Linked DNA regions of Rattus norvegicus. The protein of the gene in region 1 purifies or fractionates together with the protein of each later gene. This does not show direct contact. Links are inferred from orthologs where the notes say so. Each region holds a gene or a part of one and is shown on either strand. Other genes may lie near its edges. The genes, in order: Tnip2 and Tank.

What was found.
Region 2: the proteins of Tnip2 (region 1) and Tank purify together in Homo sapiens (affinity purification with mass spectrometry; 3 studies listed by BioGRID and IntAct, with this or other methods). This does not show direct contact. The link is inferred for Rattus norvegicus from reciprocal best matches to the Homo sapiens genes TNIP2 and TANK.

Annotation. Positions count from the first base shown.
Region 1 is NC_086032.1:80,447,192-80,460,060, forward strand, and holds the start of Tnip2 (TNFAIP3-interacting protein 2), read left to right. Parts: upstream 1-5,744; 5' UTR 5,745-5,808; coding exon 5,809-6,087; intron 6,088-12,869. UniProt on the Homo sapiens protein: Inhibits NF-kappa-B activation by blocking the interaction of RIPK1 with its downstream effector NEMO/IKBKG.
Region 2 is NC_086021.1:66,516,941-66,529,636, forward strand, and holds the start of Tank (TRAF family member-associated NF-kappa-B activator), read left to right. Parts: upstream 1-5,896; 5' UTR 5,897-6,052; intron 6,053-12,696.

The DNA.
Region 1 (12,869 bases):
GTTCATGTGTGTATGTGTGTGCTTATGTGTGTACATGTGTGTTTATGTGTGTATGTGTGTGCTTATGTGTGTACACGTGTATGTGTGTACATGTGTATGCATGTGTGTGCATGTGTCTGTTCATGTGTGTATGTGTGTATGCATGTGTGTGTGTGTGTGTGTGTGTGTGTGTATGTATGTATACATACTCTTCCCCTGAGGAAGCAGAGGGCAGAACTGCCAAGTATGGTGCTGTAACTAGTGTTCCATGAATAGCACTTGTCCCGTTCCCACGTACAGTGCCTCAGCTGTGTGGGGGAGAAAAGCTGTGTGTATGGAAGTGAAACCAGAAAGCAGTCCATGCTGCTAGTCACACTAAGAGAAAAAAGAGCACCCCAAATTCTTATTCAATGCAACCTGGGAAAAGAAAAATAAACCTGCTGTCTTCAAGCCTTGTCTTAGCATAGTTTATGGATAAATGGAACAAAGGCATCTCTAGTTCAAGGTTGTTCCTCTGGAAGGGGGTGGGCCTTGTCTCTCTGACTTTTTTTTTTGTTTGATACTGTCTTTCTGTACAGTGGAAACGGAGGGTTCTTGTTCACTAAGGCCATTGAGTCTTACATTGAGTCCTCCCATTTGGATGACCTCTAGAATTCAGAACAATAATCCTTATCGGTGTGTATGTGCTGAACTGTTCACGAAGCCTATGGAGTACAGATGCTGTCTCGCACTTGCTAACGCTTACCATCTGCAAGACTTTCCCTTAATGCTTGGAGCCAATTCCAAAGAAGAGCCTGGGCCTGCCCTGAGAGCAGTGAGATTGTTGAGTTAGAGGAGGCGCTTTGGGACAACAGTAGCCAGAGCCCCAGAAATAAGCAGGCATCGGGACGCACAGGTGCCTCTCACTCAGTGACCAGAGACTGGGGCACCTAGGTCTCAGGGAAGAGTCACCGCTAGTCAGACACTCAGGCTCAATCAGATGTGCAGGCCTACTAGAGTAGATGGGGTTGGTGCCTGAAGTTCTGGTCCCCAAGCCTTTGTGGCCACACTGCCCCCTTGTGGACATTTGGAAGGCCCTCCTACCTGTGAAGGCCTCAGGTGTCAGTCAGCGCTAGTGTTAGAGCATTGTATGTACATAGCTTTGGTGTGATGGCATCAGGCCAGTCACCAACCTCACTGACCACAGACTCACATATGAGCCTTCCCCCTCATTAGGGAGGCCTCTGCTTCTTACACAGCTTCCTTTTGGGCTAAGCTGGCCCTTGAGATCTCAAGATCTCAGAACAGGACTGAGGTGTCAGCATTCAAAATGAAGCAGGAGAGAATTAGGAAAAGTTGCAGACTCCAAAGGGACCTGTATCAGAGGAAGAGGCCTTCGGGGAATCAGACCGACAATCGTCTGTCAGTAAATTAAGCCGGAGTTAGGCCTGCTCCACAGGATCACTGGAAACTCACGGCCTATGGGGACTCAGAATGAGAATCCGTCTCTGAGACACTGAGATCACCCCACACTTGGATGTCCCCAGGACATTGTATCCCTTTCTTGGGAACCCAAGTACCAGGCTCCTCCTCATTCTGTACATTGCAAAGACAGCCCCCTCCCCACACATACAAACAAACACCCTTGCCATTAAGTACAGACTGGCCTCAAACTTATGATCCTCCTGCCTCAGTGTCTTGAATTCTGGGATCATAAATCTGCACGGTAGCTCATCCAATCACCCTCTCTAAGGTGAAACATTCTCCATTCCTTTTCCTGGCCCCCACATATTCCCCCCATCCTTTTCTTATTATATTAGTTATTTTTCTTGTTGTTGATGCAAAATACCTAAAAAAAAATAATAACCCAAAAAACAAAAAATAAAAACAAACCAACTGGGGGGTGGGGTGGGATGGAGGCTTTTGGAGAGGAAACTGGGAAGGGGATAACATTTGAAATGTAAATAAACAAAATAACCAATTAAAAGAGTAAACAACAACAAGTCAAACCAACTTAAGGGAGGAAGGGCTTGTTTGGGCTCCTGGTTTGAGGGGTCACAATCCGTCAGAAGGAGAAGGTGTGAGAGCTGGAACAGGAGGCCACATCTCAGGAAGCCAAGGGAAACGATCAGTGGTCCACAGCTCCCTCCCTCCTCATTCAGCCTGTTCCCAGCACATGGAAGATGCTGCCCACATTTAGGATGGGTCTCCTTTCCTCAGTTAATCCTCCCTGGAAACCTCGTGGGCATGCCCCGGGTGTGTCCAGTTAGTGTTGGTTATTAACCAACGAGCTTGTACAAAGTTCCCCCACCTCTTAGGCTGGGCGTCTGTCTCCACTGTTAGAATACTCATCTGTAACTCTCTGGGCCTAAGCCCTGTAGTTGAATTTCAGCTGAAGACACAAGGATGCTGGCCACTTCCTGTGTTACGTTGCAGACTCTTTTTTTTTTTTTTTCTTTTTTTTCGGAGCTGGGGACCGAACCCAGGGCCTTGCGCTTCCTAGGCAAGCGCTCTACCACTGAGCTAAATCCCCAACCCCTACGTTGCAGACTCTTAACCATGCCACAGAAGGTAGTGTCCTTAGAGGTCTGGAAATCTCTCATCTACAGTTCTAAAGTCCCAAAAAGCTCAGAAACCCAAAGCATTTTTCTTAAAGCTGATACAATAGCTGACTCGAATCCTGTCTTACTTAATTTGACTAGACATTCCCTCTGTAGTTCAGGAAGTAAAAAAAACAAAAAACCAAAAACCAAAACTGACATGTTTTGTGGGTCTTAGAGATGCCCCAGTGGGAGTGCTAAATTGTATGTCAATTGTTGATGTTCTGTTGAGACAAAGAATTTCAAGTGTGGCTGGAGATAGTAGCTCTAACTATAATCTCAGAGCTCAGGAGGCTGAGGCAGAAAGATTATCATGAGTTTGAGGCTACTCTGGTTTACAAAGCGAGTTCCAGGTTGGTCTATGGAGTGAGATTCGATCCAAGCATGGGGCCGGAGAGATGGCTCAGTGGTTAAGAGCACTGACTGCTCTTCCAGAGTTCAAGTCCCAGCAACCACATGGTGGCTCACAACCATCTGTAATGGGATCTGATGCCCTCCTCTGGTGTGTCTGAAGACAGCTACAGTATATTTATATATAATAAATAAATAGATCCTAAAAAAAAAAAAAGACACAAGCATGGTGGCACATACCTTTAATCCTAGCACTTGGGAGACAGAGGCAGGTAGATATCCGTTAGTTCCAGAGCAGCCTGATCTTCATAGAGAATTCTAGGCTAGCCAGGGCTACAAAGTGAGATGCTGTCTCAAAACCAAAGCAGAAGAGAACAAAAAATAAAGAACAAATCAGAAAGGTCTTCAAGGGGGCTGAGCTAGCCCGGTGATGTACAAGCAGATAGCCTGAGAGTCTGATTTTGGACTCACAGCACCCACGTAAAAGCAAGTGTGATTACACACATCTATGATCCTATCGTGGGGGCTGTGGTTGGATGGAGACAGGTGGATCCCTGGAACTTGCTACCAATCAATGTAGCCAATCTGTGAGCTCTGGGTTTAGTGAGAGACCCTGTCTCAGGAAGGTGAAGAGAGACAGTGGAAGACACTTGACATCAACCTTTGACTTCTACACACATACATCCACGTGTGTGTGCTATATATACATACACACATATTAAACACATACATACATGTATATTACATGTATGCTCATATACATATTATACACATGCACATATGTTACACACACACACACACACACACACACACACACACTTTAAAAGACTCCCAAGTGTTAGCATCTTGAAGCAATATCACCCGTCTGTTACTTTTCAGTTTGTCAGGAACCTCGGAGTGCACGGTTATAGAGGCTAAGTACTCCCTGTTGTGTGGGGCCTGCCCATATGTACAGATATTGGCAACAGGACTTCTTTTGTTGTTGTTGTTTGTGTTTTGAGACAGGGTTTCCTTGTGTAGCCCTGGCTATCCTGGAACTTGCTCTGTAGACCAGGCTGGCCTCAAACTCAGAGATCTGCCTGCCTCTGCCTCTGAGTGCTGGGATCGAAAGTGTGTGCCATCAAGAGTACTCCTTTTTAGAGGAAGGTTCTCTCAGTTATGTGCACCTCTGTAAATCAACGCTTTTGAACTTCAAACACTTGTGACACAGGAGCATTTGAATAAGTTTCTTTGTTGTTTGATGTCTATTTTGCGGTTAGTTCACAACGAGGCTCAAAAGCACTTGAGTGACCTACCCTAGGCTACACACGGCAGTAAGTGAACAGTTAAAGCCACATATCCACTCAGGGCCAGGGTCTTCTGTGTGGTACCCCCCCCCCTTCTCTTTCATCCCACAACTGCCTTGGTCAGTCAAGATGCACCCTGCATGGCCACAGCAATGGTTGTGCTGGACAATCGTCTAATATGTGGAAGTTTGAATGAGAGCAGCTCCCATAGGTTCCTGTTTGGATACTTGGTCCCCAATTAGGGACTCATGTAAGGTTGGGAAGGATTTAAAAGTATGGCCTTTCAGTGGTAGAGCGCTTGCCTAGCAAGTGCAAGGCCCTGGGTTCGGTCCCCAGCTCCGGAAAAAAAAAAAAAAAAAAAAAGGTATGGCCTTGTTGGAAGAGCCATGTCACTTGGGCAGAGAGATTTTGAGACTTCAGCATGCTCTCTGCCTCCTGCTTGGGGATCAAGATATGAGCTCTCAGCTTTAAACATCTGACCCTTAATCCCACTTAAATGCTTCTATAAACTGCCTTGGTCCTGGCATTTTGTCACAGTAATAGAAAAAAAAATACACACCTATTCTCTAGTGTGATAACACCCCTACCAGGTAGGGAAGGCAGCAGCTGCGATGCATCGCTTCTGACTGGAGTTTTGGCTCTGAAGGCTAAGAAGGAGCTGAACATAAGTGAGCCAGGTCCGTGACTCCTAGTATCCATCCTATAAATTCTTGGTGAGGTCTGGCTTTGCATATAGTTTGATACTTGCAAGGGAGTGTGTTCCTGCAGGTTCAACCAGAGCTTGGCTGTGAGCAGACAGGATACTGAGAAGGAGACTGAGCAGAGAAGAAACACATCCTCACCTAGGGAGAGGACTTCCATGAGATCTTAGCAAGGAGCCTTTGAAAGATCTTCACGGAGGAGAGACTTCCCAGAGGAAAAATAGGGTTTGTATGGAAGCTGTGGGAAGGGAAGGGCCAGCGCCCTCCTGTCTTCTGCTTGAAGAACAGTTTCTAGCGCTAAGGCCATCCTAACTCGAATTTAGGGGCATGCTGGCGTTTGGTGGCTGGCTCTGGGGTCCACCATGTACTGTGAGCTCAGTGTCCCTGTATGAAGAAACACAAGTCAAGTCCCTGAAGAGGAAGGAGCCCCGCCAATGAAACCTGACCACACTTCATGTCCAATGTCTGAAGTCCTTGGATTTATTTGCTTTTCTTCAGCTGCTGTACCAGAGGATACCTAACCCCAAACCCTGGTCACAGATGGGATCTGACTCCAGGAAAATACCTCAGACGCAGGGAATAGGGCCGTGGTGACAAGTCTAAGACTGTGGGGCAGACAGCACCTAGAAGGGAGCTGGCACGTCAAGAGAAAGTGAGATCATCGAGAGAGAGGGGCGGTGACAGCTGTGGGCGGGGGCGGAGTCAGACTCCCAGCGGAGGGCGAGGCGGAGCCAGCTGTGTGCGGGGGCGGAGTCAGACTCTGGGCAGAGGGCGAGGCGGAGCCAGCTGTAGGTGGAAGCGGATTAGGCTCAGGGAGTGGGCGGGGCGGGAAAAGTTCCGGGAAGGCTGGTTATCGCTCCCGCAGCCTAGAGAAGTTGGAGACGCCCAAGTCCCCACGGAAGGCCCACAGCTATGTCGTCTGGGGACGCAAGGTCTGGTAGACAGGACGAGGCCCCGAGCGCGGCCTCAGCGCTCTGTGGCCTGTACCACGAGGCAGGCCAGCAACTACAGCTCCTGAAGGATCAGCTGGCTGCGCGTGACGCCCTTATCGCGAGCCTCCGCACCCGCCTCGCGGCTCTGGAAGGGCACACGGCACCATCACTTGTGGACGCACTTCTGGATCAGGTGGAGCGCTTCCGTGAGCAGCTGCGGCGACAGGAGGATGGTGCCTCGGAGTCCCAACTGCGGCAGGTGCGGGGAGGGCAAGAGCTGTTGCCCAAGGTGGCCTAGGGAGCTTGTTGGAGAGTGTGACACTGAGTCCAGAGGTGCGCGAGGTCTTGAGGGTCCCGAGGGTATGAGGCTCGAGGTGCGGGTCTGAAGAGCTCGAGGTCTGGAGCATGGTGGTTTAAGGGGTGCGCTGGGGTTTGAAAGGAGCTGAGTTATAAGGGACACGAGATCCTGAGGCAAGTGGGTCCTAAGGAGCTCTGGGTCCTGAGGTTTCAGGGTCTGAAGGGCGTGGGGATCTGAGGCGCAGGGAATCCTGAGGGATTGGGGTCTGAAGGCGAGAGTCTGGGTAGTTCAGGATACTGAGCACTTCGAGATTCATTCGTAGGCCGGAGAGTTAGGCAGAGTTGAGCAGGAGTCTCTGGGGCACAGGGTTCTGGTGAGCACCAGGGTGGCAGAAGTGTGACGTTTGAGGAGTACCAAGTCCTGACATTCTGTTGAGGTTATGAGCAGTTCTGAGGAACATGTGATGGAGGTTAATTTGGGACAGACCCCCTGGGTCTCTCGACTTTGGGGGTGCTGCTGTGGGAAACTTGCTCATGAAATTCCATGGGGGCAGAGGTCTGAGGAATGTGAGGGATCCGAGAGTGCAGGGATCTGTGGGGCATAATGTTCTGAGGTAGCCTTGAACACATGGTTCTGTTGGTAGTGAGCTTCTCCAATATGTGCTCTGGGTCCCAAAGGGGTGTGTAGCGGCTTTAATCACTGCTTATTACTTTGAAGAGACATCATGACCAAGGGCAACTCTTATAATAGAAAGCATTTAATTGGGCGCTGGCTTACAGTTTCAGAGAGTTAGTTCATTATCATCATGGTGGGGAGTGTGGCAGCATGCAGACAGGCTTGGTGCTGAAGAAGTAGCTGAGAGCTACATCCTGATCCACAGTCAGAGAGAGACACAGGGCCTGGTGTGGGCTTTTGAGACCTCAAAGCCCATCTCCAGTGACATAGTTCCTCCAAGGCCACATGTCTCAATCCTTCTCAAATAGTGCTACTTCTGGATGATGAAAAATGCAAGTATCTGAACCTGGCGCTTTCTTATTCAAGCCACACCAGTGGGGCACCAGGATTGACGAAGATGGAGTTCTGGGAGGGGTGGTGTTCAGGGTTCTGTAGGTAGGGTTCTGAGGGACAGACACTAGAGGCTCTAAAGGACATGAGTGAGGCATGGGGTCAAGAGGGTCTCAAGGACATCCTGACAGGCATTGCTCTTTGAGGAATGTGTACAGGTTCCATTGTGTTTGTGTTGGCTCTGAGGGGGCAGTGCAGGTCTTGGTTCTTGTGTTCTGTGAAGGGAGGTCTTCTGTGGAATGTGAGTTTCTGAATCCTGTGCGGAGTGCCAGGAACCTGAGAGATGCATAGGGTTCTGAAGACTGGGACTCTGAGAGAAAAGACCCACGTTTTTGGTTGGTATTTGGTGTTATATTTAGTATTATATTGGTGTTTGGTTGGTATTTGGTGTTATATTTAGTATTATATTGGGATTTGGTTGGTATTTGGTATTATATTGGAAGAAGCAGCAGATGCCAATCTGAGAATATGTAAATTCTTACTTGGTTCTCCTTGTCATTTGTTATTACTTGGTTCCACAAGCACACAAAACTGAAATGCGTGATAACACTTTCCTGTAGCAGTCGCCTCTATCTGACTACCTTGCCCCACATTTGGAGGAATGCTGGCATGTTATTCCATTTGGTCCATGGCTATCTTGGTTTTCCCCCATGGACAGTAAGCCTGACAGGGGAGCAGCTGGTAAAAGATAATATTGTTTCCAAGATTACCACTGCAACTAGATTTCTTTTTCCTTTTCTTGTTTTCCTCCCATCCCTACACCAGTTGTACTAGGGATTGAAGCTAGAGCCCAGGCAAGTAAGTGCTGTACCATTGAGCTGCACACATCTCTGGTTATTTTCTTGCTTTTTACCCAAACTGGTCTTGAACTCACTGTGAATCTCAGGCAGGCAATGAATTTGGATCCGCCCTGCCTCAGTCTTCCAGGTAGATGGTATTACAGGCTTTTGCCACCAGGCCTGGCCACAACAAAATTCTAGAGGGGGGAAAAAAAGAACGTATTTTTTTCCTGATGGTAAACTTTAGAATACGTGAAAAACGAATCCCACATGCTTTGTGTGTGGTTCTTACCTGCGTTTCCTTTGCGGAGATAGATACGTGGTCCTGTTGGGTTCACGTTTTTCTGTACAATTTTACTTTATATCGTGTTGTCATTGTTTTCTATCTGTATCATTTAAAGCACCAAGAGCAAACGGAAGTCTCCCCACTCCAAGTCTCTCTTTCTGGAAGGAGGGTTGCAAAACATCAGAGCAGAGAGAAAAGTAGAGGCTACTTGGTCTGGGCCACTAACTTAGTGTTGTGACATCAGGAGCCACAGTGAGTACAGAGCGTCAACCTGAAGGCACTTCAGAATTTGTCACCAGAATATCAGTGGGAACAGTTAGGGTAAGGGAACTCTCCATACTCACAACAGAACTACACGTGCAGTCTGGTAGCCACTGGTGCTCAGTGCAGATGGATCTACACCCAGCAACTGGCACTTGTTTATAGCTCTCTAGAGGCTCCAGACAGAACCAGTCGATGGTCCCAGTATTAACGGTTCTACGTCCACTGGCATACAGATTTTGTTCTGGGATTTTAAGAACTATTTGCAATTTTATTTAGGGAATTTTGTTAACAGTGTGGTGACTAAATATTACAAAACCATGTGTGGACTGAGGAGTCTGCCAAAACAAATTGACTGACTATATTAGTAGTAGAAATATGTGTCAAAAATTACCCTGTTAAAATAACTACTCTGTTCACTTTAATTTCAGTGTTGCTTCTTTCTATGATGTAGCTTCCTTGGTTATGTGGTTTGCAGAGGTGTGCACAGGATAAGGCTTATGTAATTAGTATAATTTATTAGTTATTAATGTAATATATTTTATGCCTACATACTAATAACTGTCTTAGTTACTTTTCTATGGCTGTGGAGAGATACTATGACCCAGGCAAGTTACAAAAGAAAGCATTCAATCGGGGGCCTGTTTACAGTTTCAGGGAGTGAGTCCATGACCATTATGGGTGCAGCAGGCAGGTGTCCTGCTGAGAGGTAGCTGAGGCCTTACATCTGATCCACAGGAGGCAGAGAAAGAGATGGGGCTTGGTGAAGGGGATAAAGGCACTCGCCCACCCCCAGTGACTGGCACACATTTTCCAGCAAGGCCAGACCTCCCATTCCTTCACAAACAGTTCCACCAACTGGGAATTAAACATTTAAATACATGAGCCCATGGAGGCCATTCTCATTTGAACCACCCCAGTAACTAATGTAACACATTCCCTGACGACAGATCTGTGTAAGCACAATTTTAGTAAATGTCAAAGGGATTATGTGCTTGTCAACTCAGTGCAAATACAGAAGGACTTTAAAACAACTTATCATTTTCTTACCTCTTTTTTTAAAGATCTATTTATTTATTATATATAAGTACACTGTAGTTGTCTTCAGATGCACCAGAAGAGGACATCAGACCTCATTACACATGGTTGTGAGGCACCATGTGGTTGCTGGGATTTGAACTCAGGACCTCTGGAAGAGCAGTCAGTGCTCTTAACCACTGAGCCATCTCTCCAGCCCACTTTCTTACCTCTTGTCATTAAATTCTACTAGTGAATGCAACATTGTTATGTTTTAAATCCTTTGATTTTCATCTGTAATGAGAGGAAAAGAACAACTGGCTTTAATTTTGAAAGCAAATACTGTGGGGCTAGAAAGATGACTCTCATGGTGTGGTGGTGTACATACCCTAATCCCAGCATTTGGGAGACGGGGCAGGCAGATCTCTGAGTCTGAAGATAGGTAGGGCTGCCCAAAGGAACCCTGTCTTGGAAAAAAAAATCCCCCAACCAACCAACCAACCAACCAACCAACCAACCAACCAACCAACCAGTGCACAGTACCCTTGATTCACAGCATCAAGGGGTTTACAAGTGCCTGTTACTCCAGCCCCAAGGACCCAGCATCCTCTTCTGGCCTCTGTAATAATCCACCAACAAATGCATAGTAATATGCAGACACCTAAAATGAAAGTTTGGCACCAGGCGTAGTGCTGAACAGCTTTGCACAGTGGCACACGCCTTTAATCCCACCACTAGAAGGCAGAGGCAGGTAGATCTCTGAGAGTTTGAGGCCAGTCTGGTCTACATAGTGAGTTCTAGCCAGAGCTACATAGTGAGACCCTATTTCAAAAAGTCAAGTAAAATCTAAGAGAATAAAAGAAATAGTGTTGGCAAGATGGTCCAACACTCGAAGGCCACTAAGCCTGCTGATGAAAGCTTGATCCCCAGAACTCATGTGGTAGAAGGAGAGACAGAGTCCTGCAAGTTGACCTCTATATGCATGCCCAGTCATGCAGGCTTTTGCGTACACACACACACAGACTCACACACAAAGGAGCAAGATATTAATGACATTTTTGTGGATATAAAACTGACAGAAGAGATTAAACTAAAAATGAACAGCATGTGTTGAAGGTGATTTGAAGAGGATCAGGAGGAGCAGAGGATGTCTCCGGTGGTACAAGCCAAGGGCCCACACCTGGTAATGGCATTTTCAGGATCCCAGCTTGGCCAAGGGAGTGTACATTCAAGGAAAATGTGTAATTTTTTTCCATCTTTATTAACTTGGGTATTTCTTTTCTTTTTTTTTTTTTTTTTTTTTGGAGCTGGGGACCGAACCCAGGGCCTTGCGCTTGCTAGGCAAGTGCTCTACCACTGAGCTAAATCCCCAACCCCAACTTGGGTATTTCTTATTTACATTTCAAATGTTATTCCCTTTCCCAGTCTCCAGGCCAACATCCCCCTAGCCCTTCCCACTCCCCTTCTATATGGGTGTTTCCCTCCCCATCCTCCCCCCATTACTGCCCTCCCCCAAGAATCCCACTCACTGGGGGGTCCAGCCTTGGCAGGACCAAGGGCTTCCCCTTCCACTGGTGCCCTTACTAGGCTATTCATTGCTACCTATGCAGTTGGAGCCCAGGGTCAGTCCATGTATAGTCTTTGGGTAATGGCTTAGTCCCTGGAAGCTCTGGTTGGTTGGCATTGGAAAGGCAGAGGCAGGTGGATCTCTGTGAGTTCTAGGCCAGACTGGTCTACAGAGTAAGATCCTGTCAAAGAAACAAACCCAACTACAGTAGAAAGCAAATGGTTGGTTAGCTTGCTTTCTCTGATGGCCATATCCACCATCTCTAGAAACAGGGACCCTAGACCAGAAGAGACTGATGGCTCCCACAGAGAATACTGCAGACTAGGTATGTGGAGGAATTGAGAGGTTCATCTTTGACAGACACTAGCCAGTATGTCCAGATGAGGCCATAAATGTGTCCTCATGGTGTCCTGGAGTGGCACTTGGGACCCTACCTCACGTGCAACTTGAGGCCTGGATGAATGATTTTGCAAACTTCTTCCAGATAAGATTTTCTGGGGCTGGGGATTTAGCTCAGTGGTAGAGCGCTTACCTAGGAAGCGCAAGGCCCTGGGTTCGGTCCCCAGCTCCGAAAAAAAGAACCGGAAAGAAAAAAAAAAAGATTTTCTGGGTTAATGGTGCTATTCACCATGTGGCCTGTGGCTATACAACTGTATCCCGTTACCCTGGAGACCGGCCTCCTAGGTCCTGCCTAGTCCTGGCATCCGCAGTCCTTTGCTTGCAATTTTTCTCTTCCTCGCTTGCTACACTTTATAGAGCAGTGGTCCTTAACCTGTAGATCATGGCCCCTTTGTCAAGCCTCTTTGATTCATGACAGTAGCAAAATTACAATGACGAAGTAGCAACAAAAGATAATTTTTTTTTCCTTTTCTTTTTTTCGGAGCTGGGGACCGAACCCAGGGCCTTGCGCTTGCTAGGCAAGCACTCTACCACTGAGCTAAATCCCCAACCCCAACAAAAGATAATTTTATGATAGGGGATCACCACAACGTGAGGAGCTGTATTGAAGGGTCACAGCGTAAGGAAGGTTGAGAACCATTGGCTTAGAGTAAAAGACTTTGTCTCAAAACAATCAACAAATGAGAATTACCAAACAGTACATGTTTTTATGACAATAAAAATCCAGGGGCTGGTGAGATGGCTCAGTGGGCAGAAAGTGCTTTCTGAACAAGCTTATTGATATCTGGCACCCAGGATGAAGGGAAAGAATCAACTCCTCAGAGTCGTCCTCTGACTTCTGTATGTGCACCACACCACGAACACACACACACACATGCAAGTACAATAATAAAGTTATAAAGAGAAATAATTGAAGTTTGTCTTTACAGCGTGGTGAGTCTGTGTCTTCATTTGCAGAGTGGATTGGTTGAGGCTATCTCATCTCATCATGTTCTGTTTATGCTTGAGGAGTCTTTGAAAATAGGAAAGCACAAATTTAAGGCCAGGTCGTTAAAAATGGTCATTTTGGCCAGGCTAAGGGTGCAGGTACTCCTAGCACTCAGGAGGCTAAGCTTTCGCTCAACGGTCCAAGCCAGTCTGGGCAACCTAGACAAAGTTTGTTATTTATTTATTTAAATTTTTATTTATATGTGTGAGTGTTTTGTTTGCATGAATGTCTGGGCACCACATGTCTGTCTGGTTTTTGTGGAGGCAAGAGGAGGATATCAGATACCCTGGAAGTGGAGTTACAGGCCATGTCGAGTGGCCATGTGGGTGCTGGGACTTGAACTAGGGTCTTCTGGAAGATCATTCAGTGCTCTTAACCACT
Region 2 (12,696 bases), on another chromosome or scaffold:
TGACATCAGACAGGAATTCGAGAGCACACATCAAAATAAGAACATTACTTGGCTATAAACTAAATGGATTGGTGCCTTATGTCTTGAAAGAGATAGCAAACTATCTAATACTTGAAACAGACTTGCCTCCTTCCCTGATAGGATTCTGTCAACTTTCAAATTTTTAATGAAAACACCAGCAGTTCTTCCTCCCTGAAGACTGACCAAGCTGTCTGTAAGAGATTAGAAATGAAAGAAAAGTGGAAGAACAGAGAAATCGGAACGTACATTGCCAACTCCCTTAATGGCATTGCACCCTCCAAGGCAGCTCAGTTTTGCTAAACTGGCACTTGAGAAGAGTCCGTGAGCCTAATTTGCTCCTCCAGCTCTTAACCAGAGCATCCACACTGCATCACCCTCCGTTCCCATTACCTTTCTCTACCTTATCTAACTGTACTATGATCACACACCCATCCCATGGTCGAACCTGTAGGGAGAGAGTAGAGGTTGAGAGTGCTATATTCTCAGTTCATTCCTTCTTTTGTAAATGGAAGCTTCCAAATGGCATGAAGTAACCAGAAGTGGCAGAAAAAGAAATTTGAATTCCTTTCACCTCCCTTCCAATTCTGTGCCGCTGTTGAATGATGGCCTCCATGTTTAAGTGCACGACAGTAGACAAGTAGACCTTCCAGCTGTGCTACAAGATGCTTGTTAAAACCATGGGCTTTGGAGACACACATGAGGGCTTCCACACACCAGTAGTTTGCACTTAACTGGGCTAGCTCATTTTTATGCATCCATTTTTGTAACTGTAAAATAGCACTTTTACCCTGGGGTACTTAGAAAAATGAATGAAGTAATGTAAATAAAGGGCTTGAAATTGTGTCAGGGCCACAGTCATTTTGTTAAAGTCATTGTTAACTGAGGTTTTCATCCCCTTTCAATGTTCCCAAACAACCATCACTTGTCATGTATTTGATGTATCTGTACAAATGTGTTGCTTCCTGAAGTGAACATCTTATTTTCCAAATACAAAATTCTTTCCTTGTAGTAAACCAAATTTCTTTCCTAATCACTCCTATCCACTAGCCTGAGGCCTACCTTGAAGAATTTAATTGATATTTGAATATGATTGGGGTTATTTTTCTTCATATTCTCTAAGAAAAGCATTAACCTTTCCTGTAATTATGTATTTATGACATGGATGAGTATTTAATAGTTTATCTTTGGTCTCAAAGATCAGAAAGATGGGTCAGAACATAAGAATGTTGCTTCCTTTTTTCCTTAGGGAATTCCAAAGCCCTTATTAGTTTGGGGATAGTTTACCACCTCCACATTACCACCTATAGGAAAGCTCGTCAATTTTGTATGATTTCACATAAATTGAATCTTATCTTCCTAGGCACAAGCAATTTTTTTCCTATTGTTTCTGTGTATAGGATGGTAGGAACCAGTAACTAGATAATTTGTAATTGTTCCTATCAGTTCATTATATATCACAGCGTCTTTTGTTCCTTAGATAGCCAATAATATTAGTTGTCAAATAAATGAGGAAGGCCGAATGCTAGGGAGCTTACGACCCTGCTTTCATTGCCATTCTCAAAAAAATAAGCCTAAAGTACCTCTTAGCTGCTCAGTCGTGCACCTCAAATCTTTACTTTAAGAACTGCCAAGAATATTAAAATCATGTGCGCCATCAACATTATAAATGTTCTTCTATAATCCTAAAAGCAAGTGGAGATTATGTTTTAATCTGCTCGAAAAGCAATAAAAACAAGCAAAAGCCATAAATGTAGCCTAAAAGAAACAATAAATTCACTGAGATCATAGGAAAAACATATGAAATACAGTTTTAACCCTTAACTCGTTTACTTCTTCAACGCCTACTCTTCGTGAGTAGTTATTGGGCTGAGAACTGTCTCTTTGCCCATAAAGCACTATTATATTATGTAGTCATTTGGATATGAAGTATCCTCCATGCTCCCACACAAAAGACCTATGTGTTAAGAGCTTGCTCTCCAGATGGTGAGCATTTGAAAGTGACTGCAGCATACGGGTTCTCACTTCCTCAAAAGATGAGCTCACTGATGAATTCCTAGCTTAATGTTACATTATTAAGAGGTGGAACCTACTTGGGAAAAGTATGTTACTGTGTGCACTTTGTCCCTTCCTGGCTCTTGTCGGTGTCACTCTTTTCCCTCTGTGACATTGTACTCTTTGCAATGATGTCTTACCATACTATGCCAGCACCAGAAATAGTAGAATCAAGTAACCATGAAGTGAATTCTCTGAAGTCATGAGTCCACAGAAATTCTTCCTCCCTTAGCCCATGCTCTCAGGTGTCTGTCACAGTGACATAAAAACTGAGTAACACACCCGATTTTCATCTTCTTCAATGAGTTGAGTACATGGTCCTGCATTCCACTGAGATGGCTCAGTGTGTAAAGACACTTGTTCCCAAAGCCTGATAACCCGAGTTGAAGAAATAGGTAATAAATGTTTATTAAATAAGCACTCATATAAGGTTGTCTTAGGGATTTACTATTATAAAGAAACATCATGACCAAGGCTGGCTTATAGGTTCAGAGGTTCAGTTTATTATCATAAAGGTAGGAACATGGCAGTGTCCAGGCAGGCCTGGAGTTGAAGGAACTGAGAGTTCTATATCTTTGTCCAAAGACAGACAGGAGAAGTCTGGCTTCCAGGCAGCTAGGATAAGAGCTTAACGCCCCACAGTGACACACTTCCTCTAACAAGGCCACACCCTACTCTAACAAGACCACATCTCCAAATAGTGCCACTCTCTGGACCAAGCATATCCAAACTACCACAAATGTCAATCATTGAATTGGATTAGAGCTTAAATAGAAAAACTGTAGCTCCATCCTATTACCAAAAGCTTAGGGAACATCTCAGAAGAAGGTGGAAGGAATATGAGAGCAGACGGTGGAGGAAGGTGATGGGAAAGGTTCTTCTGGACACGATATGTTTGGCGCAATCATGGGAGCTCTGGTTACTTGTTCATACAGGGCTCTTACAAGATTTGGCTTGTCCATATTTCATCATGAAAGAGGGGAGGGCCAATGAGACCTTGCCCTTCCCTAAGGGACTAATGACAGTTAATGGTGGCTTTAGTGATGTAGTCACTGACAAGTTACCTGTCCTTCAGTAAAGAGTTTCCCTCCCAAGTTCATTCAGGCAACCCCATGGCACACACAAAACAAAGGCATAAAAGTAGAAGGTGGGTGAGTTAGGAAGAATAAGGGTTTCTGGAAGAGGGGGCATAAAACAGGCTAATAGCTTTTTCTAAGAACATACATGTATAGAACTGTCAAAGAATAAAAAAAATTTTTTGAAGAATTGTAAAAAGTGAATTTAGTTCCCTAGCTAGCTTCACTCCGTGTAGTCACCATCCATTCATGCTAGCCCCCAATTCTACTGAATGTGGATACCAAACCTAAGTATCACCACTAAGAAAGAAATATTTGGCAAAAACTTGTAATCAACTACTTTCCCCTGCACATGTTTATAGAAGCTGGGGGAATAAGTTTAAAATAAAAGAGCATGAATTTTCTCCTCAGAAATGGTAATTCACATCTCAGCGTCAGCTGCAGCCACAGATGAACAAAACCTTAGCACTTGCGCCTGTGAACAGGTAAAGGCAACAAAATGTTTCTACTCCCAGAAAGCCCATATCCGGGCATTCATCTTCCGGGTGCTGGTATGGTAACCTAAGTGACGTTTCTGAATGAAATATCTACTTCAGTACCACATGGCTGCCTAACTAGCTTCTTGGCCATATTTGCAAGTATCTGAGTCTCGCTGAATCTTAGTTAGCAGTTAGTAGAGCTTGCCTTTTATGTTTTCGGAGGAATAGGAAAAGATCAGTTGTAGCACATTCTCTATGGGGAGACCTTCCACACAGGCTTACAATGAGAATCCTACAATTAGAGTTGGTCCTGCTCTTAATAGTCAGCCAACACCTTGGCCATTTGTCTTTTTGAATCAAAACCTAAGCTTTTCTCCTACCCACCAACTTGAGCTTGCCGCCCCCTTCCCCCCTACCATCCCGGTCACTGTGCCCATCTATTCTTTTCCTACTGGGATTTCTATGAGAGGATAAAAATAGAGTCAGGGGCAGGAATGAACAAAGGACTCAATAGGGACAACAAGGGAAGCTATTACCTTGCTTGGAGTCTAAATTAGTCAGCAGTGTCTTCGGCTTTTAATGTCGCACGCGTAGACTTGACTGCTTCAAAATGCATCTCTAACCAAATCAAAAAACTTCTGCACCAGGGCCTGGAAAGCCCCTCTCAATGTCCCACCAGGTTGTGGCCAATATTCCAGGAATAGCCAGTTTTTCCGGAGTTTGGGCCCCAGCCAAACTCAATGGCCAAAGTAAATAATAAAAGGAGGAAGCCTAGGATGGAGAGGTGAAAAAATGAAGGTAGGTAGAGCGCTTGCCTAGGAAGCTCAAGGTCCTGGGTTTGGTCCTCGGTCCCGGAAAAAAAAGAAAAAAAAGAAAAAAGAAAAAAAAAATGAAGGCAGGGGAGTGTATTTCCCAGTCAATACGGGAGGGCTGTTTTAACAAAAAGCTGTGCGTTTAAAAGCTTGCTTCCCAACTGTCAACTCTCAAGGACTAAAATGTCCACACGCCAGTGCTATCTTAAGTTTTTGATGTTTCACTTCGTTGTATTTACTTTGTAAGATTTTAGTTTCCCGTTGCACGAAAGCATGTTTAGTATTTGATATTCCTCGGTGAGAGTGTGACAAGCACATAGAGCTGGAAGAAAACAAACGCTTCGCTGCGTATTTTACGAGCACATAGAAGAGTTTTTAAGCACATGCTTATTCAGCACTTTAGAAACTTAAAAAAAAATATTTTTGGGGAAGGAATAATTCCACCATATGCAGCATTATCTCTGATGTGTTTAAGATGCAATTTTAAGAGACAATAGTGCTTTAAAGTAGTAAAGGGACTAGACTATGAATCGGAAATTGGAAATTTTAGTTTCCATTAACTGGAGTTTTGGGAGATGCCTCCGCACACTTACGCGGGAACTCAGCAGGGAGACTACCCCCAGGACTCAATCTTGTTCCGACTCCTGAACTTGCTGTGAAGGAGCACAGTACAGTACGTATGAATTGCACCTGGAGACAGACCACTCCAAGTGCCCATTGCTTCTAACTTTGTGACATTGCGCACTCTCCCTCCTCTGTTTAATCATCTGCAATAAGGGGAAATGGAACAGATCGTGTCTAAGGACATTTCCATTTTTATAACAAAGAAAAATGTCCAGATATTGCTGTCTTCCATTTACATGTAAAGCCCACAGTTTAGTTCCATGCGGTCCGAGAGAAACACTCCCCCAGGGTGTGGGAACACGTGCTCAACTGTGTCAACAGTGACCTGCGTGTCAAACTAGAAATCCTGTCTAAAGAATCCTTTTTTGCTTTATTTTTCTTCCTAGTACTTACAGTCTCATTCTGGAATCTTAAGATACACCTTATTATTATTATTTTTTCTCTCTAGGCTTCATCCAACCGACCTTTGTAAGTCAGAAAGCAAAGAAAAATATACTTAAATTTAGGTTTTGCCTGTTATTTATAAATTTGATTTGGGGTCAAATGTGACTCCTTAAAGGCTAAAATGGCAATTTTTTTCAAATAAGCTTACTTTTGAAACGTTTTACATGAAAAACACTTCTTCCAAATTAAACTTTCATGTTTGTAATTTCTAGATTTTTTTTAAATGTCTTAACTATTCAGGTGAAATATCATTGCTTCAAAAGGAAGTCAGAGTTAGAGTCACGGGTGGTTTCAGAACATTTTCTGGTAGTTTTTGCTTCATTTCAATATTTTGCCATGATTGGCTGTTGATAGCTACAAATAAGGAAGTCTTCAAGTCAGGGGATTTCTCAGTGGAAGTCCCCAGTTCCTTCCACACAAGGGAGAGCTCAGGACAGTTTGGGCAGCATCTGGTAGAGCCTGTGCAAACGGTTTCCAGAATGTGTCCGTGCCTGTCTTTAAAGAGACACAGTCAGTGAAGGAAAACTTGTCACCTGGAGAAGAGGTAATCAACTCTTACTAATTTCTTTCGATTCTTAGCTTAGTAAGGAGGTTGGGGTGCCTTAAGTGTGGTAAGATCTACTCCACTCCGGCACCAGCCAACTAGGCGGTCCCAGGCACGAGTCAGCGATGCCTTTTGGCATCGTCGTCAGAATTAGAGGGATCCAAACAGTCTTTAAAGCACTGTGACTCTTTTACTCTTTGCCTAATTTTTAAGATAGAATGGGTTATGTCTTTAATTGAAATGAGTTTTAAAAGTCTTTATCTGATATGTGAGTCTTCTCAAGAAGTGATATACATGTGTGTGTGTGTATGATGTGTGTGTGTGTATGTATGTATGTATGTATGTATGTATGTATGTATTGTGAGACTGAGAGATATTTGGCCCAAGTTAGGTTACATAAAGCTTACTATGTCGAAAGTAAATTAAAAGTATATATAGTCCTACTTTTTGCTTATATTTAAGAAAAATCAATTCCAGCCTGATCGAATGTGTCTTTCTAAATGCCAAACTAGCATTAGTACTTTTACTCTCATAAGAACTATGTAATAATGAACATGTATGACATCAAGTATTAGCTTTACAAGCTATTCTAATTACAGTAATCAAAGCTTATGCTGTTTCCAACAGACCCTTTTATTTCCATCACCACAATTAAAATTGAAGATCACATCACATTATTTTCTCAAGGACAATTTCAAACTAAATATCAAGAACTCTTTTCAGTGTTGTTGTATTAAATAGTTTCTAGACACTCAATAAGAGTGTCTGCTAAAAGAAAAGGATCACATGTTTTCAGTGGTATAGTCAGACAAGACTTACTTAAATAAAAAGTCATACCATTTCATTTTACCTGGCTTTTTATCACTAACCCACCTGTCTTCTTACGATACTGAAACTGTGTTTGAGATGTTTTACCCAAGCTGGAGTAGGATGGGGAAGAGAGAAAACAAATTCATCTGAGTTACAGAATAATCACGTCATCACTGGAAACCGTCTCCCTTCTCACTCGTCCTCTGCCATCGCTAGGGTTACAGTTCCGTGAGTGTACATAGCAAGAAATACTAGTCTGCCTCTGGGAATGTGGAACTCTGTATCAGCTCAACACACTCAAAACGTATGCCCAGAAGCCAACTGGGGTTCTAGAGAAATGTCCAGTTATTTCTCTTAAACGTTTGTGATTTATGGTTACCAAGATGACTCAAAACAACTGTTAAATTCCCCTGGGGAAAAAATTCTGGTTGGAATTTTAGAAATGTGTCCGTGCCATTTAAAACCTTCCTGTCTGTGAACATCCTGTCTTTCTATGCATTGAGGATGGGACTCCGGTAAACATATGGAGTCCTTTGCATTATACATTATACATATAAATTGTAGAACGTGTTCCAGGCTAGTTTGCTTTGTCCCTTTCTGATGTGTGCACTAGGGGAATTATCTGTGTAAGGATCTTCTTTCTGGTGTGTTTTAACTACTGCTAACATCTTGATCTCATAATTTTATGTAGTCATTTTATTGATCTCTAATTTTTTCTAAATTATATAATTCACATGACCTTTTCAGATTAAAAAGAAAAATATGTGGACTTGCTTCCTCCTTCCCATCCTTCAGCATAGCAGCTAGAATTTCTGGATCAGGGCTTCATAACACAGGAAAAAGCAGTCGACTGTTACATTTCTGATCTCAGAGGAATTTCCCTAGTGGTTAATATGAAGAATGAGATTGGCTATTGGTTTGAGGTAAAAGCTTTCATGATTAAAAAAAGAAGCCCAAATAATTACCAATATCCTGATTTATTAGGGGTACATTTAATAGGCAATATCAAAGTTTCATGTTTAAAAAAATCCAATGTCTTTGATAACTTTAGAGACAACTGTGTGAGTTTGGCATTTCAAACGAGGCAGCAATCTGCCGTTTTAAAAGACTTCGAAGAAAACAGGTTGCCCTTGTGTTTCCCTGACAGAGCTGATTTTATAGTTAGAAACTGTACTCCATTGTTTCTCAGATTAAAATAATAAACTGGTTGATCAAACCGAGCCTACACATTTCCTATTTCTCTTCCATCCACATGCTTAGACGCCTCTCTCCTATCATTTTGGCTTCATATCCAGTTTACAGCTCAAACTACCAGGAAAGAATGAAAACAGTGTGGTGGAAGCCAAGGAGCCCTATCTAGGGCGAGCACCCAGAGTTACAAAAAAGCAGCTGTTCGTACGCTCCCTGCAAACAGCTTTCGAACATTACATCCAAAGAGGGTCTGCAAAATGTGTGTCCAAATTGGTTAGCATAAATGCAGTTTACATTAAGGAAGTGTATACCGAAAAGCAAACGTTTGTGGTTTGCTGAGAATTTTTGCATTCATAGACAGAAGGCAAATTTCATCCAGATTTTCATCTCATGGCACCTATCAGTAAGGAATTTGTCTACCAAAGTTTCCTTTCAGAAAGTAAAACAAGGAAAAGGCCAAAACACTTCAAATTCTAACAAGTTTCATGCATGTGGTCTGTTCCCTGAAACGTTTAAGGAATAAACCCAGAGCATCGACCTCGGCATCCCAGCCCCAACAGATAGTTCATTAAAACATTTTCCCAGTATTTTCTACTGTTGTTGATCAGAGCAAATTTAATGCCCCCCTTTTTACATAGTTTAGGTTTTGTCTGAAAACAATTATTTTTTTTAAAGATTTATTTATTTATTTCTAAGTACACTGTTGCTGTCTTCAGACACATCAGAAGAGGGCAGTGTATCCCATTACAGATGGTTGTGAGCCACCATGTTGTTGCTGGGAATTGAACTCAGGACCTCTGGAAGAGCAGTCAGTGCTCTTAACCACTGAGCCATCTCTCCAGCCCGAAAACAATTATTTTTAAAAACAATTCTGTTCAATTTTTTTCAAACGCATTGATGCACACAATATTGACCTACACTTTTTAAAAATAATTTCTGTAACTGTATAGATAATCCTTTCGGTGCTCACTTTTTTTTTTCTATTTGTATTTTCTCTCTCTCTCTTTCTTGATTGGTCATATCACGGAACTAATCCCTTGGATGTGACATTTTAACTTAGCTTCTTACAGAACAGCTTTTGGTCTTATCTTTACTAATATTTTCATGATATTTTAAAGATTTCTTTTTTACTCTTCCTAGTTACTGGTTTGAGTGTTTAGGTTATATATATTTTTAATTCTTTACCATTTTCTAATAATATTTTTAAGGCTATAGAAGGTTTAGGACCACTTTAACTACATCTGATAAATAGTTATATGTCACTATCACATTAGCATAGCTTCATAGTTCTAGCGAGGCTGTGTGGCTTGGCTTTGGGGTGTGCATGGGTGGAGGTGAGGAGAGCTAAGGACTGACCCCAGATTCTCATAAGAACTCAGTAGGTAACTTTACAGGTTTTAACTGCAGTTTTACTCTCTCTTTAATCGTGAAGCTATTTAGGTCAGTAAAATTATTTTAGAACAATTTTAGATTTAGAAAAAAAATCAGGCAGGAACCATGATAGACAATATATGTATTATAGACACTATACATATTACATTTTATATATTATAGACAATATATGTATGTGTGGCTGTGTGTGATCCTACTTCCTACCTTTAAACCAGAGTCACCGCTGTTGACATCTCTATTAGCATAAGTAAAACAAATCTAGATCTTTTTATTTTATTGAGTCTTTAAACATTTTTTATTATTTATTCTGCCTATCTCTCCTCTAGTGTCTGTTAGACCCTTTCCCCTGATGATTTGTTTGTCTTTTTCTAGTTCTTTGGAGTATGCAGGGTTTCACTTTATTCTACCTGTCTCTGGTTCTCTAGCAATGGAATTACAAGAGCCCCATCACCATGCCCTCTTACTTGTTTTCACTGGCTCTGGAGATCATCTTGGGTTCCCAGTCTTGTAAGGAAGTGCTTTATCAGCAGAGCTAGCTCCCCACCCTAGGCTCCCCTTCCTTCCCCTTCCTTCCCCTTCTTTTCTTCTCTTCTCTTTTCTTTTCTTTTTTTCCTTCCTTCCTTCCTTCCTTTCTTTCTTACTTTTTTAAAATCACATTTATGTATTTACTGGGTGTGGTGATCAGAGGCACCTAGAGGGTGTCAGCTTTTTCCTTCTACCTTGCTTGTGATCAGGCTGGTGATGAGCGCCTTCATAGCCACTGAGCTGTCTCATCACCCTCGGGTTTTCTTTTCAACACAGATGTCAATTGGTATTAGTGTTCCATGAAGCACTTTTAAAAACTATGTGAGCCTTCATGTGCTGCAGTTTTGCTTTCATTAACCTTCTAACAAAATCTTCTTTCTTTTGTGATTTCTGTTCTGGCTCAAGAACGTGTCAGTTTTCAAAAATTTATGTCTCTTCCAGTTTTCCTTCGATTATTGACTTCCAGCTTCTTTCCATCTTGGCTGGGAAAAGATTTCATATGACTTCTGTTTTCTGCCGTACGGTGAGACTTTGGAAGGAGCAGTATTTGCTCTATCCAGGAGAAGAGTCCTCGTCCACTCGCAGAGACTGTCTTCTGCTTCCTTTTGGCACAGTGCTCTGTTTACACCGCTTTGGCCCAGTTGGCTCACAGTACTGTTTCAGTTGCCGTTCCCCTCTGGTCCATTTTTCTACTTATCATCAAATGTGGCATAATGCAATCTCCAAGGACTACTGTAGTCTGTTTCTCTTTTCAATGTTATAAATGTTCTTCTCAATTTCTCTAGGGCTCTCTTTGCTGTTCATATGTACAATTGTTATATCTTCTTGGTGAATGATTCTTAATATGTGTGTATGTGGATATGCATATATATGTGTGTGTATGTATATATGTATATATATATATATTATTATTTGTCTCCTATGGAATGTTTTTACTCGACATATATTCTGTCTAATATTAGTACAGTCACCCATATTTCATTCGATTACTCAGAAATATTTTTCAAATTTTATTATTATTATTATTATTATATTTTTTGTGTTTGCACACAATGTGTACATGTGTGTGTGTGTGTGTGTGTGTGTGTGTGTGTGTGTGTGTGTGTGTGTAAGCATTCCCATGTGTGAATTCATGTGCATACACATCATGGTGCATCTATGGAGGTCAGAGGACGCCCTCAAATGCCAGTGGCTCTCACCTTCTTCCATTTTTGAGGAAGGTGTTCATAGTTTTGTTTTATTTGTTTCCCACTGCATAGGCCAAGTTACTGGACCCCCAAGCCCAGGGATTTTCCTGTCTCTGTCTCCCATCTCCTCATAAAGGTGTTGATATTATAGACATTTGCTATAGCATCTGGCTTTATATAGTTCTGAGGATTCAAACTTGAATCCTCATACTCACATGGCAAACTCTTCAGACACACCAGCAGAGGGCATCAGATCCCATTACAGATGGTTGTGAGCCACCATGTGGTTGCTGGGAATTGAACGCAGGGCCTCTGGAAGCACAGTCAATGCTGCTAACCAATGAGCCATCTCTCCAGCCCTGGCAAACTCTTTATACGTTGAGCCATCTCTCCTGTCCACGTCTTTCACTTTTACCTCTGTGTGCCTTTTTATCTAAAGTGTCTTCTAGATAACATAGTTTGATCGTTCAATTATGTTAGATTTTCCATTGGCCAAGCTCTGTCTTTTATCTATTTTTGAAGTAATCACTAATAAGACTTCTTCCACTTACTACTCAATGAATGTATTTCTTATAAAATATTTCTTTTTTAAAAGTCCAAAGTAAAAAATATCCAGGCTTAAGAGTAGATGAATCATCATGTCACTTAAAAAAAAACAAAATAAAACAAAACAAAAACAAAAAACCTCAATGAACTACTTTTTTCACCATGTCACAGCCTTATTCCATAATCACTTTCAATAATTCAAGTGATATTATATTTAGAAATGAAGTCAAACATAAAAGTGAATGGCTAACAAAGTTACAAAAAGCTATAAAGTTACAAAATAAGCCAAATGCATTTAATCAAGAGTAACAGACAACAAGAAGCCTTATCAGTCTAAGGCAAGGCAAGAAGTCGAGGCTGCTCAGATCTGATAGGTCGACACTGAGGAATTTGTAAAATAAATAGAAATAACATCTCTGACTTACTGGCAAAGAAAAGCCTAGATATTGCCTATCAACATTCTTATAGTGAAATTTAAATATTTCATTATTGAAAGAAAATAATCTTTAAAGGCTTATTAATCATTTCATGCATTTACAATGGAAGGCCTAGTTCTGAAATTAAAATATTACTAAGTATTTGGTTGAGGATCAGTTTAGACAAAAATGGCTTTTGACATTCAAAGTTCATGAGAAAAACTCAGCTATCTTTTAATTTTGCTTTAATGTCAAATTAAATAAGGCAACTTTAAAATTCGATAAAAACACGGCTAGTCTGTTTCCAGAAGAATTTCCAAAATTCAACCACTGAGCTTCTTTTTAGGAGAAATCATATGTTAGAACCAATTATTCTAACTTAACTTCAGAAGTTCAAATGGAAAATAAGGCTCACAGCACAACGGTGTGAGATAATTCCTCCTCAGTATCAAAGAATTACCTTTATGTTCTTAGATGCTATGCTGTAACAATGGGTGATTCAACTCATTTGGTAGCTTGCCTGGTCGACGTCCTTCTCAATAGCTTCATGTTTGCACTGAAGATGTTCTGACATCAT